Macaca mulatta: one gene and its partners. The protein of the gene in region 2 interacts with the protein of the main gene of each other region in a biochemical or structural test. Links are inferred from orthologs where the notes say so. Each region holds a gene or a part of one and is shown on either strand. Other genes may lie near its edges.

The links.
Region 1: the proteins of TOR1A (region 2) and TOR1AIP1 form a complex in vitro, tested with the Homo sapiens proteins (2 studies listed by BioGRID and IntAct). The link is inferred for Macaca mulatta from reciprocal best matches to the Homo sapiens genes TOR1A and TOR1AIP1.
Region 3: the proteins of TOR1A (region 2) and torsin-1A-interacting protein 2 form a complex in vitro, tested with the Homo sapiens proteins (4 studies listed by BioGRID and IntAct, with this or other methods). The link is inferred for Macaca mulatta from reciprocal best matches to the Homo sapiens genes TOR1A and TOR1AIP2.

The regions. Positions count from the first base shown.
Region 1 is NC_133406.1:37,288,232-37,292,491, forward strand, and holds the start of TOR1AIP1 (torsin-1A-interacting protein 1), read left to right. Parts: upstream 1-1,334; 5' UTR 1,335-1,365; coding exon of another isoform or gene 1,366-1,443; 5' UTR 1,444-1,552; coding exon 1,553-2,030; intron 2,031-4,059; coding exon 4,060-4,137; intron 4,138-4,260. Other genes in the region: uncharacterized protein LOC144340607, read left to right, coding at 1,366-1,443. UniProt on the Homo sapiens protein: Required for nuclear membrane integrity. Induces TOR1A and TOR1B ATPase activity and is required for their location on the nuclear membrane. Binds to A- and B-type lamins. Possible role in membrane attachment and assembly of the nuclear lamina.
Region 2 is NC_133420.1:17,787,271-17,791,772, forward strand, and holds the start of TOR1A (torsin-1A), read left to right. Parts: upstream 1-1,566; 5' UTR 1,567-1,615; coding exon 1,616-1,793; intron 1,794-2,768; coding exon 2,769-3,034; intron 3,035-4,502. UniProt on the Homo sapiens protein: Protein with chaperone functions important for the control of protein folding, processing, stability and localization as well as for the reduction of misfolded protein aggregates.
Region 3 is NC_133406.1:37,259,564-37,263,960, forward strand, and holds the start of torsin-1A-interacting protein 2, read right to left. Parts: upstream 2,924-4,397; 5' UTR 2,808-2,923; intron 1-2,807. UniProt on the Homo sapiens protein: Required for endoplasmic reticulum integrity. Regulates the distribution of TOR1A between the endoplasmic reticulum and the nuclear envelope as well as induces TOR1A, TOR1B and TOR3A ATPase activity.

The DNA of each region.
Region 1 (4,260 bases), on a different chromosome or scaffold from region 2:
GTGAAACCCCGTCACTACTAAAAATACAAAAAACTAGCCGGACGTGGCGGCTGGCACCTGTAGTCCCAGCTGCTGGGGAGGCTGAGGCAGGAGAAAGGCGTGAACCCTGGAGGCGGAGCTTGCAGTGAGCCAAGATCGTGCCACTGCACTCCAGCCTGGGTGACAGAGCAAACTCCGTCTCAAAATAAAATAAAATAAAAACTAAAAACGTAGTACACATTACGACCTAAGTAGTTGAAATTTGTGCCAAGTCTGAGCAACAAATGAGTTGCTCAGAAGCATTTTAAGGTGATTACTTGGAAGAATAAACAAACACCTTCAAACTTTTCAGAATCACTCATTGTAACTGGTATCCAAATTACAATTTTTAAAATCTGTTCACTCCAATCATAGCAAGTCCCACAAGAAGTTGTATATTTGAAGGTGATTTGAGCTTTTTTTCAATAATTATTCAGACTTTACACGAACTTAATCGACCTTCTCTGAGTGTGTCTAAATTTGGTTAGGTATTTGCAGATTAGCCACATCTATAAACATGGTATATGGAGGTGAAACAAATAGCTTTTACCATGCTTATTCCAGAAAGTCCAGAAAGCATTTTAAATCAAATGTAGAGTATCACGTCATATCCAGAATAAAAGTAAAAATAATGGATCACAACTTAAAATTACAGTACTGTCTTTAATAAAAAAACGTGTTCCTCACTGTGCACAATGTAGCACTAACATGGTCTTCCGAACAGTGCTGCTTGGTATAAAACCAAGAAATATTAAAGACCAGGAATAAGGTCATGTTTCCTATGGGTACATTTCGGAAAAGAAAATACATTCAAAGAGTATGACTGTAGACAGGATTTTGTACAACCTCAACAGGTGACAAAATTTAAAACTAGGTAACCGCCTTCATAAGGAACTTGAAACTAAAATTTTTGCCACGAAAACATGACATGTGCAAAAGTTATCTCTCTGGCCATCGCTCCTGCTAAGGACACTGGGAAGGACATGCTCAACGTAGCAGTCGATCAAAACGATTCCAGGGAAACTGCGCAACAGCCTGGGGCCGAGAAGCGAAACCTGGTCTTCTTCACCCTCGTCTCACTCCTTTTCCCGCAGACTTGGTAGTGGGAGATAGGACGGGCGTCTCCTATATGCAGTCAAAACTTGCCACGAGCGGCTCGACTTGGGACAGGCAATTTGCCCTGCCACCCTTCCGTCGCCCCCACCCCTCCTTTACTGAAGGCCGAAGGCAGAGACGTCCTCCTCCCCCTTCTCCTCCTCTTTGGTGTCTCCAGCCAGGAGGCGGGAGCGACCCACAGCAGCTGACCCAGCTCAGGCACTGCCTCTTCCACAGCCCTCAAGACACACCATGGGCCCAGAGGCAGGTTTGCTACACAGCAGCGACGACGCAGGCGGCGGCCCCGGCGACTCGCAACTGCCTCCCTGACCACAGCGACCACCGCCTAACACACCCGAGAAGCCATCGCCGCCACCGGCAGGAGAACCTAGGATCCAGAAAGCCATCCTCGCGATCAACTAAAGCTACGTCAACAACTATGGCGGGCGAGGGACCGCGGGCGGAGGCGGTGCGGGAAGGATGGGGTGTGTACGTCACTCCCAGGGCCCCCATCCGAGAAGGAAGGGGCCGGCTCGCCCCTCAAAATGGCGGCAGCAGCGACGCGCCTGCGTACGGAACTCCTCTGTCGCGCCAGGGCCGGCGGGAAGTGAGGTTCTCGGAGGAGCCGCCAGAAGTGTACGGAGACTTCGAGCCCCTGGTGGCCAAAGAAAGGTCCCCGGTGGGAAAACGAAGCCGGCTAGAAGAGTTCCGGCCCGATTCTGCGAAAGAGGAAGTGAGAGAAAGCGCGTACTACCTTCGTTCTAGGCAGCGGCGGAGGCTGCCGCGACTCCAGGAAGCCGAAGAGATGCAGACGCGAAGGGCTACCCGCCTTCAGCAGCAGTACTCACAGCAGCCTCCGCTACAGCCGTCTCCCGTTACGACCAGGAGAGGGCTGCGGGACTGTCATTCCTCTGAAGGTGAGGACCGCGGAGGTAACAGTCCCAGCCGCGAGCCAGGGAACGCGCGGGGGCGGGCGCGCGCCTCCGTGGAGCTCATCCCCGCCTGGGTACTAAGTACTGGGATTGGGTACTGGGTACTCCTCAGTCCCTTCTGGACGTGTGTCGCCGTGCAAGGGCCATCCTGACCCGCAGCGGGGAAGGAAGCGCCGACCTAAGGAGTGGAAAGATGGTCGTATGGAGCGACCCGGGCAGGGCTGGGGCGCTCTGACCAACATCGGGCATCAATTTAGGGGAGTCAGGGCTGCCTTTTTCTGCAGGCCTTCACGAGGGGACAGCGAATTACTCCAGGTTCGGTTTCATTTTGGTTTCGTCTACCCTGCGGATGTTTCTACGGAAACCACTTCCATTTCCTTTTTTAACGCTGGCAGGCCAGAGTCTCCAGCTGAGGATCAAACCTTTCAGTCGTTTTCCCTCCCCACCCAGGTGGAGAGAGAGAAAGGAGAAATTTTGTGAGTGGGCATTTCGAGGGATTGCTGAGTTTAGTTAATTGATTTGAGACCTCACCCAATACTTACACCGAAATGGGGTAACTCATTTTTCCTGAACTCATGTTCCCCAGTGTCTGATAAACTTGAGCTGATTGCTCTTTCTCCAGTGTGGTGGTCCCTGCCAAAAATCTGCCACTTTGGTGGCCGTCACTGTAACCTCAAGTAGTCTGGCAAATCAGGCTGACAAAGCAACCTGAAAAACAATACTATTAATTAGTTTTCGTCTAAATGGACAAAAGGGATGCTGACAGAGTGAATGTATAGTGTTAGGTAAGTCATAGGTGAATCAGTTTCCTTAACCTATCCTCTCCCACCCTGCCCCCCCATTTTGGGACCCAACACTGAGTCACAGATGAAGTTTCATGTTAGTCCCACGTAAGGCACCTGTGAGGTAAAAATCAGCGGACCTGAGTCACAATGGGAAGACATAGTTTGTGGTAGACTATTGATATGCGGAGGAGTGGGTTTTCAGCTTACAGCACGATGATAGGCTGCAAGTTTACCTGCTGACTCGTGAAGGTACTGACAGATTTGAAGACTTGATTTTGGCAACTTTATGTTAAAGTTGTGTCAGTTACTTTTGGGTGTAGCAACTCAAGACAGTTTAGCCCATATATATGTGTGTTTTATCTCTTTTAAGATTACAAAGTTTTGGCCGGGCGCGGTGGCTCAAGCCTGTAATCCCAGCACTTTGGGAGGCCGAGACGGGCGGATCACGAGGTCAGGAGTTCGAGACCATCCTGGCTAACACGGTGAAACCCCGTCTCTACTAAAAAATACAAAAAACTAGCCGGGCGAGGTGGCGGGCGCCTGTAGTCCCGGCTACTCGGGAGGCTGAGGCAGGAGAATGGCGTAAAAACCCGGGAGGCGGAGCTTGCAGTGAGCTGAGATCCGGCCACTGCACTCCAGCCTGGGCGACACAGCGAGACTCCGTCTCAAAAAAAAAAAAAAAAAAAATTACAAAGTTTTTGCAGACAAGGAGCCTATCATATATATTTGATAGTAATTTAAGTACTTGGTTTAATTCAGTATCTTTCAGTACCTGGAAGAATGCTTTGCACAAGGTAGGCAATAAATATGTTACATTGTATTGAGTCCCACAGAGCCTAGTGCAGTTATATAGGCTAACATTTTTTTAACAAGTAAAGAATTTACCCCTATTTTATTAAATCTTTAAAGATCTAAACATTTTCACTCTTCTGCATTCTTCCACATTGTTTGTGATTCTCTACCCCATCTTTTTGATTTTCTGAAATGATATATTTTTGTAAAACAACAGTGGCAAATATTACTATATTCTAACGAATTAGTTGTATTCTGTCCCAAGAGGAGTTCTGACTAGTTTAATTCCTAAATTTTGGTAAACCTAACCACCTGTTTCTAAAGAAATGAATTTCTTGCATTTTTGCATATGTATTATTACAAAAATGCATAATCTGTGCCATTATCTCCCAGGTCATATATTCTGAATTTTAACTCTAGTTACGTCTGTTTTTTAGAGGATGAACCATCTTCCGAAACTGATTTAAGCCAAACGATTTCAAAGAAAACTGTCAGGAGCATACAAGAGGCTCCAGGTAAGAAGAGTTGACTTTTTGTTTATCTCCTTACCTACCAACTTTTTAAATGTTCATTGAAGTAAGCAATGTAAATATGTGTAAAGAAAAGACAAGGGCAGACATGTGAGTACTCAAGAGTAC
Region 2 (4,502 bases):
AAAATGAGAACAATTTGAGAAAAAAAAAAATTAGTACTGTATTATAACACAAAGGATAAAATAACAATGGTCCATACTGATATAAATGATTGAATACATGGGGGAGAAAAAACAAATCTCCCATGCAGAATTCCAGATAATCTCTGCAGATACTCTGCTCCCAAGGAGGTGGAGCAAAATCCCTAACTCCTTAATGTGTGGGCTGTGCATGGGGACCTCCTTCCAAAGAGTACAGTAGAGAAAAGAGGGGTGGGGAGAAGAATAAGTGTACGGTGCGGAGACTTGATACTACCTCAGTCAAGTGATCAAGTCAGCACCAACAGTGATAGGTAATGTTGACAGTAAGAACCCTTCCTTGGTAGAATGTGATGAGCATAGCACTTTACCTCTGTGATCTTCCTTCCAAAACCCCATAGCGCTAGTCTAATCCTGAGAAAAACATCAAATTCCAGTAGAGGGCCAGCCTACCAAAGATTGTGGCAGTACTCCTCAAAACTGTCAAGGTCATCAAAAATAAAAGGCTGAGGCCAGGCATGGTGGCCCACACCTGTAATCCCAGCACTTTGGGAGGCTGAGGTGGGTGAATCACAAGGTCAGGAGATCAAGACCATCCTGGCCAACATGGTGAAACCCCGTCTTTACCAAAAATACAAAAATTAGCCAGGTATGGTGGTGTATGCCTGTAATCCCAGCTGCTCGGGAGGCTGAGACAGGAGAATCACTTGAACCTGGGAGGCGGAGGTTGCAGTGAGCTGAGATCACACCACTGCACTCCAGCTAAAATAAAAATAAAAATAAAAGGCCGAGACACTGTCACTAACAGGAGTCTAAGACATAACAAATTAATGTATCCTGAATGGAAACCTGGAGCAGAAAAAGGCATAAGTAAAAGGAAGGAAATCCGAATAAACTGTACACTTTAGTTAATATAACAACAGTGCTTCGTTAATTTTAACAAATGTAATACACTAATAATGTAAGAATTTAGTAACGGGTAATTGCAGGGAGGTGTGGCACATGGGAACTCTGTACTCTTACAATTTTTTCTGTAAATCTGTTCTAAAAATTAACGTCCATTATTATTTTTTGGGGGGAGGGACACAGTCTTGCTCTGTCGCCCAGGCTGGAGTATAGTGGTGGGATCTCAGCTCACTGCAACCTGCGCCTCCTGGGTTCAAGCGATTCTCATGCGTCAGCCTCCCCAGTAGCTAGGTGCCTACCACCACACCTGGCTGATTTTATATTTTTAGTAGAAGACGTGGTTTCACCATGTTGGTGAGGCTGGTCTCGAACTCCTGACCTCAGGTGATACACCCGCCTCAGCCTCCCAAAGGGCTGGGATTACAGGCGTGAGCCACCACGCCCGGCAAAAATAACGTCCATTACTTTAAAATAAACAAACAAAAACACGTGGCCGACGGGGGCGGTGCAGATCCGACCTTCCGGAAGCAAAACAGGGCTTTGTACCGAACAAAGATGGCGGCCGCCGGCGTCGGGAGGAGGGCTGCCCTGAAGAAAGATGGCCTCCGCGCGAGGAGGAACCGGAAGCGCGGGTCTGGCGGCGGTACTGGTTCGCGGTCGGCGCGAGAACGCGCAGGGTGGCGCGGGTCCGGGCATGAAGCTGGGCTGGGCCGCGTTGGGCCTGCTGCTGCTGGCGCCGTCCGTGGTGCAGGCGGTGGAGCCCATCAGCCTGGGACTGGCCCTGGCCGGCGTCCTCACCGGCTACATCTACCCGCGTCTCTACTGCCTCTTCGCCGAGTGCTGCGGGCAGAAGCGGAGCCTTAGCAGGGAGGGTAGGCAGGGGCGGGGGCTGGGGCGGGGGCTGGGGCGGGGGCTGGAGGCTGGGGCGGGGGCTGGAGGCTGGAGGCTGGAGGCTGGGGCTGGGAGATGGCACTAGGGCTGGGCTAGGACCAGGGGATGGAGGATGGAGGATGGAGGCGGGGGGATGGCACCGGGGCCGGACTAGGACTAGGGCTGGAGCGGGGCTTGGGGGCTGGGCGATGGCACTAGGGCCGGGCCGGGCTGGGGCTGGGGCTGGTGAATCGCACTAGGGCCGGACTAGGACTAGGGCTGGAGCGGGGCTTGGGGGCTGGGGATCGGGGCGGGGACTGGGGCTGGGGGATGGCACTAGGGCCGGGCCGGGATAGGGATCAAATCCCAGGAGGGTCGGGCCTGGGCAGAGCTGAGTCCGTGCGGGCCGGACCCCGGAAGCCGAGCGGCCCCTGCAGGATGAGGCCTGGCCCCTTGGCCACCACAGACGGGCCAGACTTCAGTTGGAGACCTGAGGAGCCGGGCTGCAGGTTGGCCTACTTTGTGCTAAGCTGGGGGTGGACCGGTGGTAATCTCCCTCCGAAGTGGGCTCTGCTTCCTTTATAGCCTAGCGGGAGACAGGAAGGATGGTGAGGACTTCTTCGGAGGCGACCGGGAGGGACCAAACTGCTTTCTTTCCCCGCCCTGCCTTGGGGTGGGAGGAGCAGCACAGGGGTTAGAGGTGCAAACTGGTGGCAGTGGCAGTGGCAGTGGCACCCGCACCAAGGGCCTTTTCGGGAAGGAACCGGGCCAGGGCTTTAGAATAGGCAGGACCAGCAAAGGGAGGGCTCCCTGGACCACCGTCCCCTCTGGGCCAGGAGCTTACAGACCGCAGTACTTGAGGTTTCACAAGGTGCTTGAAGAGCTAGACGGCTTTGCTGGCTTTCTCATGGGCTGTAAATGTGGCTGCCTTTTGTCACTGTTTCTTCCCCACTCCTGATTGGCTTTGTCTCCCCCAGCATTGCAGAAGGATCTGGACAACAAGCTCTTTGGACAGCATCTTGCAAAGAAAATCATCTTAAATGCTGTGTTTGGTTTCATAAACAATCCGAAGCCCAAGAAACCTCTCACCCTCTCCCTGCACGGGTGGACAGGCACCGGCAAAAATTTCGTCAGCAAGATCATCGCAGAGAATATTTACGAGGGTGGTCTGAACAGTGACTATGTCCACCTGTTTGTGGCCACATTGCACTTTCCACATGCTTCAAACATCACCTTGTACAAGGCAAGGATGGGAGTTTGGAATCCCTTCCTGGATGTCGTCGGGTTTGGGGTCTCTTCGTTGTGGGATGAGATTTGGAAATTCTGTGTTGAAATGAGTGAGCCCTGAAAACGGTTCACGTCTCAGTTCCCCTTGGAAAGGTGTAGAAGTTAGAGTTTGAGATGCGTGGAGCAGTTAACACCATCAAAGCTTTGTGGTGGGTTCTGAAAATCGGTCCAGTGAGTTTGTAGGGTCATGGGATTTTAGAGGTGGACATGATCTAATCCATCTTAGAGATCAACACATCTCACTCGTTTTTTGTTTTTTTTTTTCTTTTATTTTGAGATGAAGTTTCACTCTTGCTACCCAGGCTGGAGTGCAATGGCATGATCTCAGCTCACTGCAACCTCTGCCTCCTAGTTCAAGCAATTCTCCTGCCTTAGCCTCCCAGGTAGCTGGGATAACAGGCTCCTGCTACCATGCCCAGCTAATTTTTATATTTTTAGTAGAGATGGGGTTTTGCCAACTTGGCCAGGCTGGTCTCGAACTCCTGACCTCAGGTGATCCGCCCAGCTCAGCCTCCCAAAGTGCTGGGATTACAGGTGTGAGCCACCATGCCCGGTCACATCTCACTCATTTTGTGAAAGAGAAAACATATGTAGAGAGTCCTAAGTTTGTTGAACCTACTGTTGCAAACTGCCCTTTTTTTTTCTTTGAGTCAGGGTCTCACTCTGTTGTCTAGGCTGGAGTGCAGTGACGCCATCTTGTCTCACGGCAACCTCCGCCTTCTGGGTTCAAGCGATTCTCCTGCCTCAGCCTCCCGAGTAGCTGTGACTACAGGCATGCACCACCACACCCGGCTAATCTTTGTATTTCTAGTAGAGATGGGGTTTCCCCACATTGGCCAGACTGGTCTCGAACTCCCGACCTCAAGTGATCTGCCCACCTCAGCCTCCCAAAGTGCTAGGATTACAAGTGTGGGCCACCTCGCCCAGCGGCAAACAGCTTTTATGGTTGAACTCACTGATTAGCAGCTTGGGCTTTGGCAGCAGACACATCTGGATTTGAGTCCTAACACTCTCCCAGCTCCATAGTCTTAGGACAGTTGCCTGACCTGAGACTCAGGTTCTGACTTACAAAGTGTTGCTTGTAACAATCCAGGGAACTCTGTCTGTCAAGTGTGTAACATGTGCCTGGTGCATGTTACAAATAAATGTTAACTGTTGCCTTTTAGATCCTTGTAACAGACCTGCAAGGTGGGCAAAAGTTATTATTTGTTTATTTTTTGAGACTGAGTTTCACTCTTGTAGCCCAGGCTGGAGTTCAATGGCACAATCTCCATCTGGGCTCACTGCAAACTCTGCCTCCCGGGTTCAAGTGATTCTCCTGCCTCAGCCTCCCAAGTAGCTGGGATTACAGGCGCCCGCCACCACACCCAGCTAATTTTTGTATTTTTAGTAGAGACAGGGTTTCACCTTGTTGGCCAGGCTGG
Region 3 (4,397 bases), on a different chromosome or scaffold from region 2:
TGCTGAAACAATCACTGCAGATTTCCTGCATGTCTTCAATTTCTGTCCCAGATGATTTTCTCATAGTCTGCCTATCAGAAGCTTTCACTTATATTAAAAAGTAACAAGGCACAGGAGGTTCCCACAAACTGAGATGGCTGCTGTGAGGTGTACCACTACACATTTGGACTGACTTTGAAGTGGTTCTCTTGAAGTATTCTTTTGTAAAATATGGAGACAGATATCCTTTTATACAATGCCTTTTTATGCAATGCTCAAAGACAAAGAAAATTATTAAGATTTACACAAAAGGAATCAAAATCAAAGGCACTTTATAAGCAATTAAAAATCATATTTTGTAGTTAATTTTTTTGTCAAAAACAAATTGATCAGTAAAGTTACTTAACATTCATTCCCTATAAAAATGAGAATAATGATACCTATGAGGCTTAAATACAAAAATATATAAGAAAAACCTGTGTGAAGTGTTATAGTTTTTTGACAGCCTAGCTGGGAGGCTAGCCAACTTGCCGTCTTTATATTTTTCTCAGTACTCTTTTGTAAAATTTAATTTTACACATTAAAAACTTTCATCCCCAATGCCTACACGGTGCCTAGTGTATAGTAAGAACTCTGTATTTTAACTTAAAAGCATATGAAAAAATAAATGAATATATAAATAAAGAGTGATGCCATAGATAAACTGGAAGGGAAGAGAAGAGTTAGGGACAGACTCTTCTTTCTGCCACTGTGAACACTTAGCATAAGTGTTTGGAGGGTTCCTTATCACTGCTTTTATCTTCTTCAAGCTCCTGGGACTGGGCTTTCAAGCCATCATATGTTGCAGTGAAGTTTTCTCTCCTATCCTAGCTCATGACAGAAAATAAAAAGTCCCCAGTCCTTTTCAAGTTTCTTTAAAAAAATTTTTCCTGCCAGCCAAAACCAAGAAAATAGGTTAAAAGTTTCCTATGTACCAATAACAAAAATTTTCAAAAGCAAAGATGCTACTCACAATAACCATAAGGAACCTAGAATAAAAACTAAAACATACCTAGTATTAAATCCAACAAGAGATATGCAAGATCTTTAGACAGTGGTGAATTTTATGGTATGTAAATTATACCTCAATAAAGCTGTTTCTTTAAAACACAACTTTAGAGAGAAAAATACAGAACTTTATTGAAGTATATAAAAAAGACATAAGTAAACAGAAAAATATATCATGAGTAGACAGTAAGACTCAAAACCATTGATGCCAATTTTCTCCAAATTAATCTACAAATTTAATGCAATTTGAAACAAAATCTCAAGTTTTTTGATAATTGTTGGTTTCTAGTGAAATGGAAAACCTGATCCTAAAATTCAAAAAGAGCAGCAAAGGATCAAGAAGAGTCAGCATAATTCTGAAGAAGAAGGGGGCAATCTTTACCAGATATCAAACCTTCTTTAAACTTAAAAGTAGGCTGGGCATGGTGGCTCATGCCTGTAATTCCTGCACTTTGGGAGGCTGAGAAAGGCAGATCACCCAAGGGTCAGGAGTTCGAGACCAGCCTGGCCAATATGGTGAAACCCCATCTCTATTAAAAATACAAAAATTAGCCAGGCATGGTGGTGCATGCCTGTAATCCCAGCTACTCAGGAGGCTGAGGCAGGAGAATCATTTGAACCCAGGAGGCAGAGGTTGCAGTGAGCCCAGATTGCACCACTGCATTCCAGCCTGGGTGACAAAGCAAGACTCCGTCACCAAAAAAAAAAAAAAAAAAAATCTTAAAGTAATAAAAGCAATGGAACACTGGCACAGGAATAGACAAACAATATACAGAATAGAGAGTAAAGAAGTATACGCAGCATACATACATAAGGAAATTGGCTAATTCAGCAAAGGGAAATAATGAATTAGTGAATAAATAGTTTGGGGACAACTGACTATTCAAATGGGGGGAAAATTAGATTTCTGTCTCCTACTTCAGATAAAAATCAAGTCCATATGAAAGACCTAAATGTAAAAAGTAAAACTTTTAAACTTTGAGAATATCAAATATCTTTATAACTGCAAGGGTTTCTTAAATAAGATACACAATACACAAACCAGAAAGTAAAATGTGACAAACGTGACCCCATTAAAAAATTTTTAATTTCTACACAAGGTATCAAAATTAAAAGATAAGTGTCTGACTAGAAAAACATCTGCAACATATAAAACCAGTAAGGAGTTAATATTGAGAACACATAAAGAATTCCACAAATCAGTACAAGACAAATAATGCTATGAAAAACTGGGTAAAGGGATGAACAAGCAGTTCAACAAAGAGGAAATATGAAAACATAATGAATATGAAAAAAGACTAGTTAAGGAAATACAACCCCAATGACAAGTAAACTGTTATTACAACTTCAGAGAGAAATATGGCAAAGAAAATTAAGGCAAACATATTCTACAAATCAGCAACTCCATTTTTAGACGTATAACAGAGAAACTCATTCATATGCCCCAAAATATCCACTGCTGTATTGTTTAAAATGAGGAAAAATGAGAAAATCTATATGTTCATTAATAAGAAAGTAGGTTTGAAAAATTGTCATATTCTTACAATGTAATATTATACATAGCAATTCAAATAAATTAGATTATCTTTAAAAGTTGTAAAATTACAGCACTGAAGTACTGATGACCAGGTACAATGGCTCACACCTGTAATATCAGCACTTTCAGAGGTCAAGGCTGACAGATTAATTGAGCTTAGGAGTGCAAGACCAGCCTGGACATGGTGAAACCCCATCTCTACAAAAAAAAATAACAAAAACTAGCCGGGCGTGGTGGTGCATACCTGTAGTCCCAGCTGCTGAGGTGGGAGGATCACTTGAGCCCAGGAGGCAGAGGTTGCAGTGAGCCAAGATCACGCCACTGCACTCCAGCCTGGGCGACAGAGCGAAACTCTATCTCAAAAAAGAAAAAAAAAATGTTGAATATCTTTACTGAGGTGGTGGTTCCATTTGTTATCAAACTTAAAATCTGTACGTTAATTGTATGTGACATAGATTATCCTCAATAAACTTTATGGCAAACAAACAGAACTGAGGGCTTTCAAAAATATATTACTCGGTTACTAGGTTGCAGTCCAAAAGAATCTGCAAAGGTGCCATCACAGATATTTCTATAATCTTACAAATGCTTAACATACACTTTTCCTGTCACAAAGCACACGTAGATCCTATAGCCCACTTCATTCAGACCTTCTGTAACATATCATCACTGTTTATAGTTGAAATGGCATTTCCCTCACAGTGCAAGAAGTGGGACAAACAAGAGTTCTTGACAAATCCTCAGATAAGATCACATGGCAGGGTATCTGAGAGATCTGGAGGCCACTGTTCCAGAGGCAAGTCAATCTTTCTTTTTTTTTTCCTCCAAGATAGAATCTTGCTCTATGACATAGACTGGAGTGCAGTGGTGTAATCTCGGCTCACTGCAACCTCCAACTCCCAAGTTCAAGCAATTCTCATGCCTCAGCCTTCGTAGCTGGGACTACAGCTGCGTACCACCATGCCTAGCTAATTTTTGTGTTTTTAGTACACACAGGGTCTCACCATGTTGCCCAGGCTGGTCTCAAACTCCTGGCCTCAAGTGATCTGCCCGCCACAGCCTCACGAAGTGCTGGGATTACAGTCATGAGACAACGCGCTCAGCCAGGCAGGTCAATCTTTTGAACGGTGTCTGATCCCTATCAGGATATGCGTTTATTAGGAACCTCGGGACTGCATAATGGAAGTGAGGCAGAGCCTCATCCTGAAGGAAAATGGGGTAGTTGGAGCTTTCTATAGCTGTAGGGAAAAACACTCCATAAGCATGTCCCAAAATAGATGCTTTTGACAGTATCTTCTACAAGGAACTGATGAGACCTGTGTGCTTCACATGGCAACGAAAGACATTCACTTTGAGTGAATCCCTTGCAAGTTCAATTACGAAATGGTGTTCAGTGCTCTATCCATGGCGGTTATAGTGATTCAGATTTCTACTTAAATAAAATGTAGCCTCATCACTGACAGTCATTTCCACCTCCCTGTGACCCTGAAATCTGCAGCAAAACTTGCATCATTTTGCTTTAGTTGTCTCCATCAAGGCTTGTAACAGGTTAAGGCTGTAAGGTTTTATTCTCCATTTATGGAGAACATACTAGATGGCCGGCTGAGGGATGCCTTGCTTAATTTCTATTTCCTGGGACTTCTCTAAGAGGGACACATTTACCTCACTGCTTCCTCTGTAAATGTGGCTGCCTTGTGCTCTGTCTTCTAAGATGTACCCTTTCTGCTTCATCTCACTCACTGTAAAATGGTAAACGCTTTGACTACCCGGTAGGTGACATTGTGTGGTATACCAGATGACTTTTGCGTTGAAGTTACATAACCAAGTTTAGAAG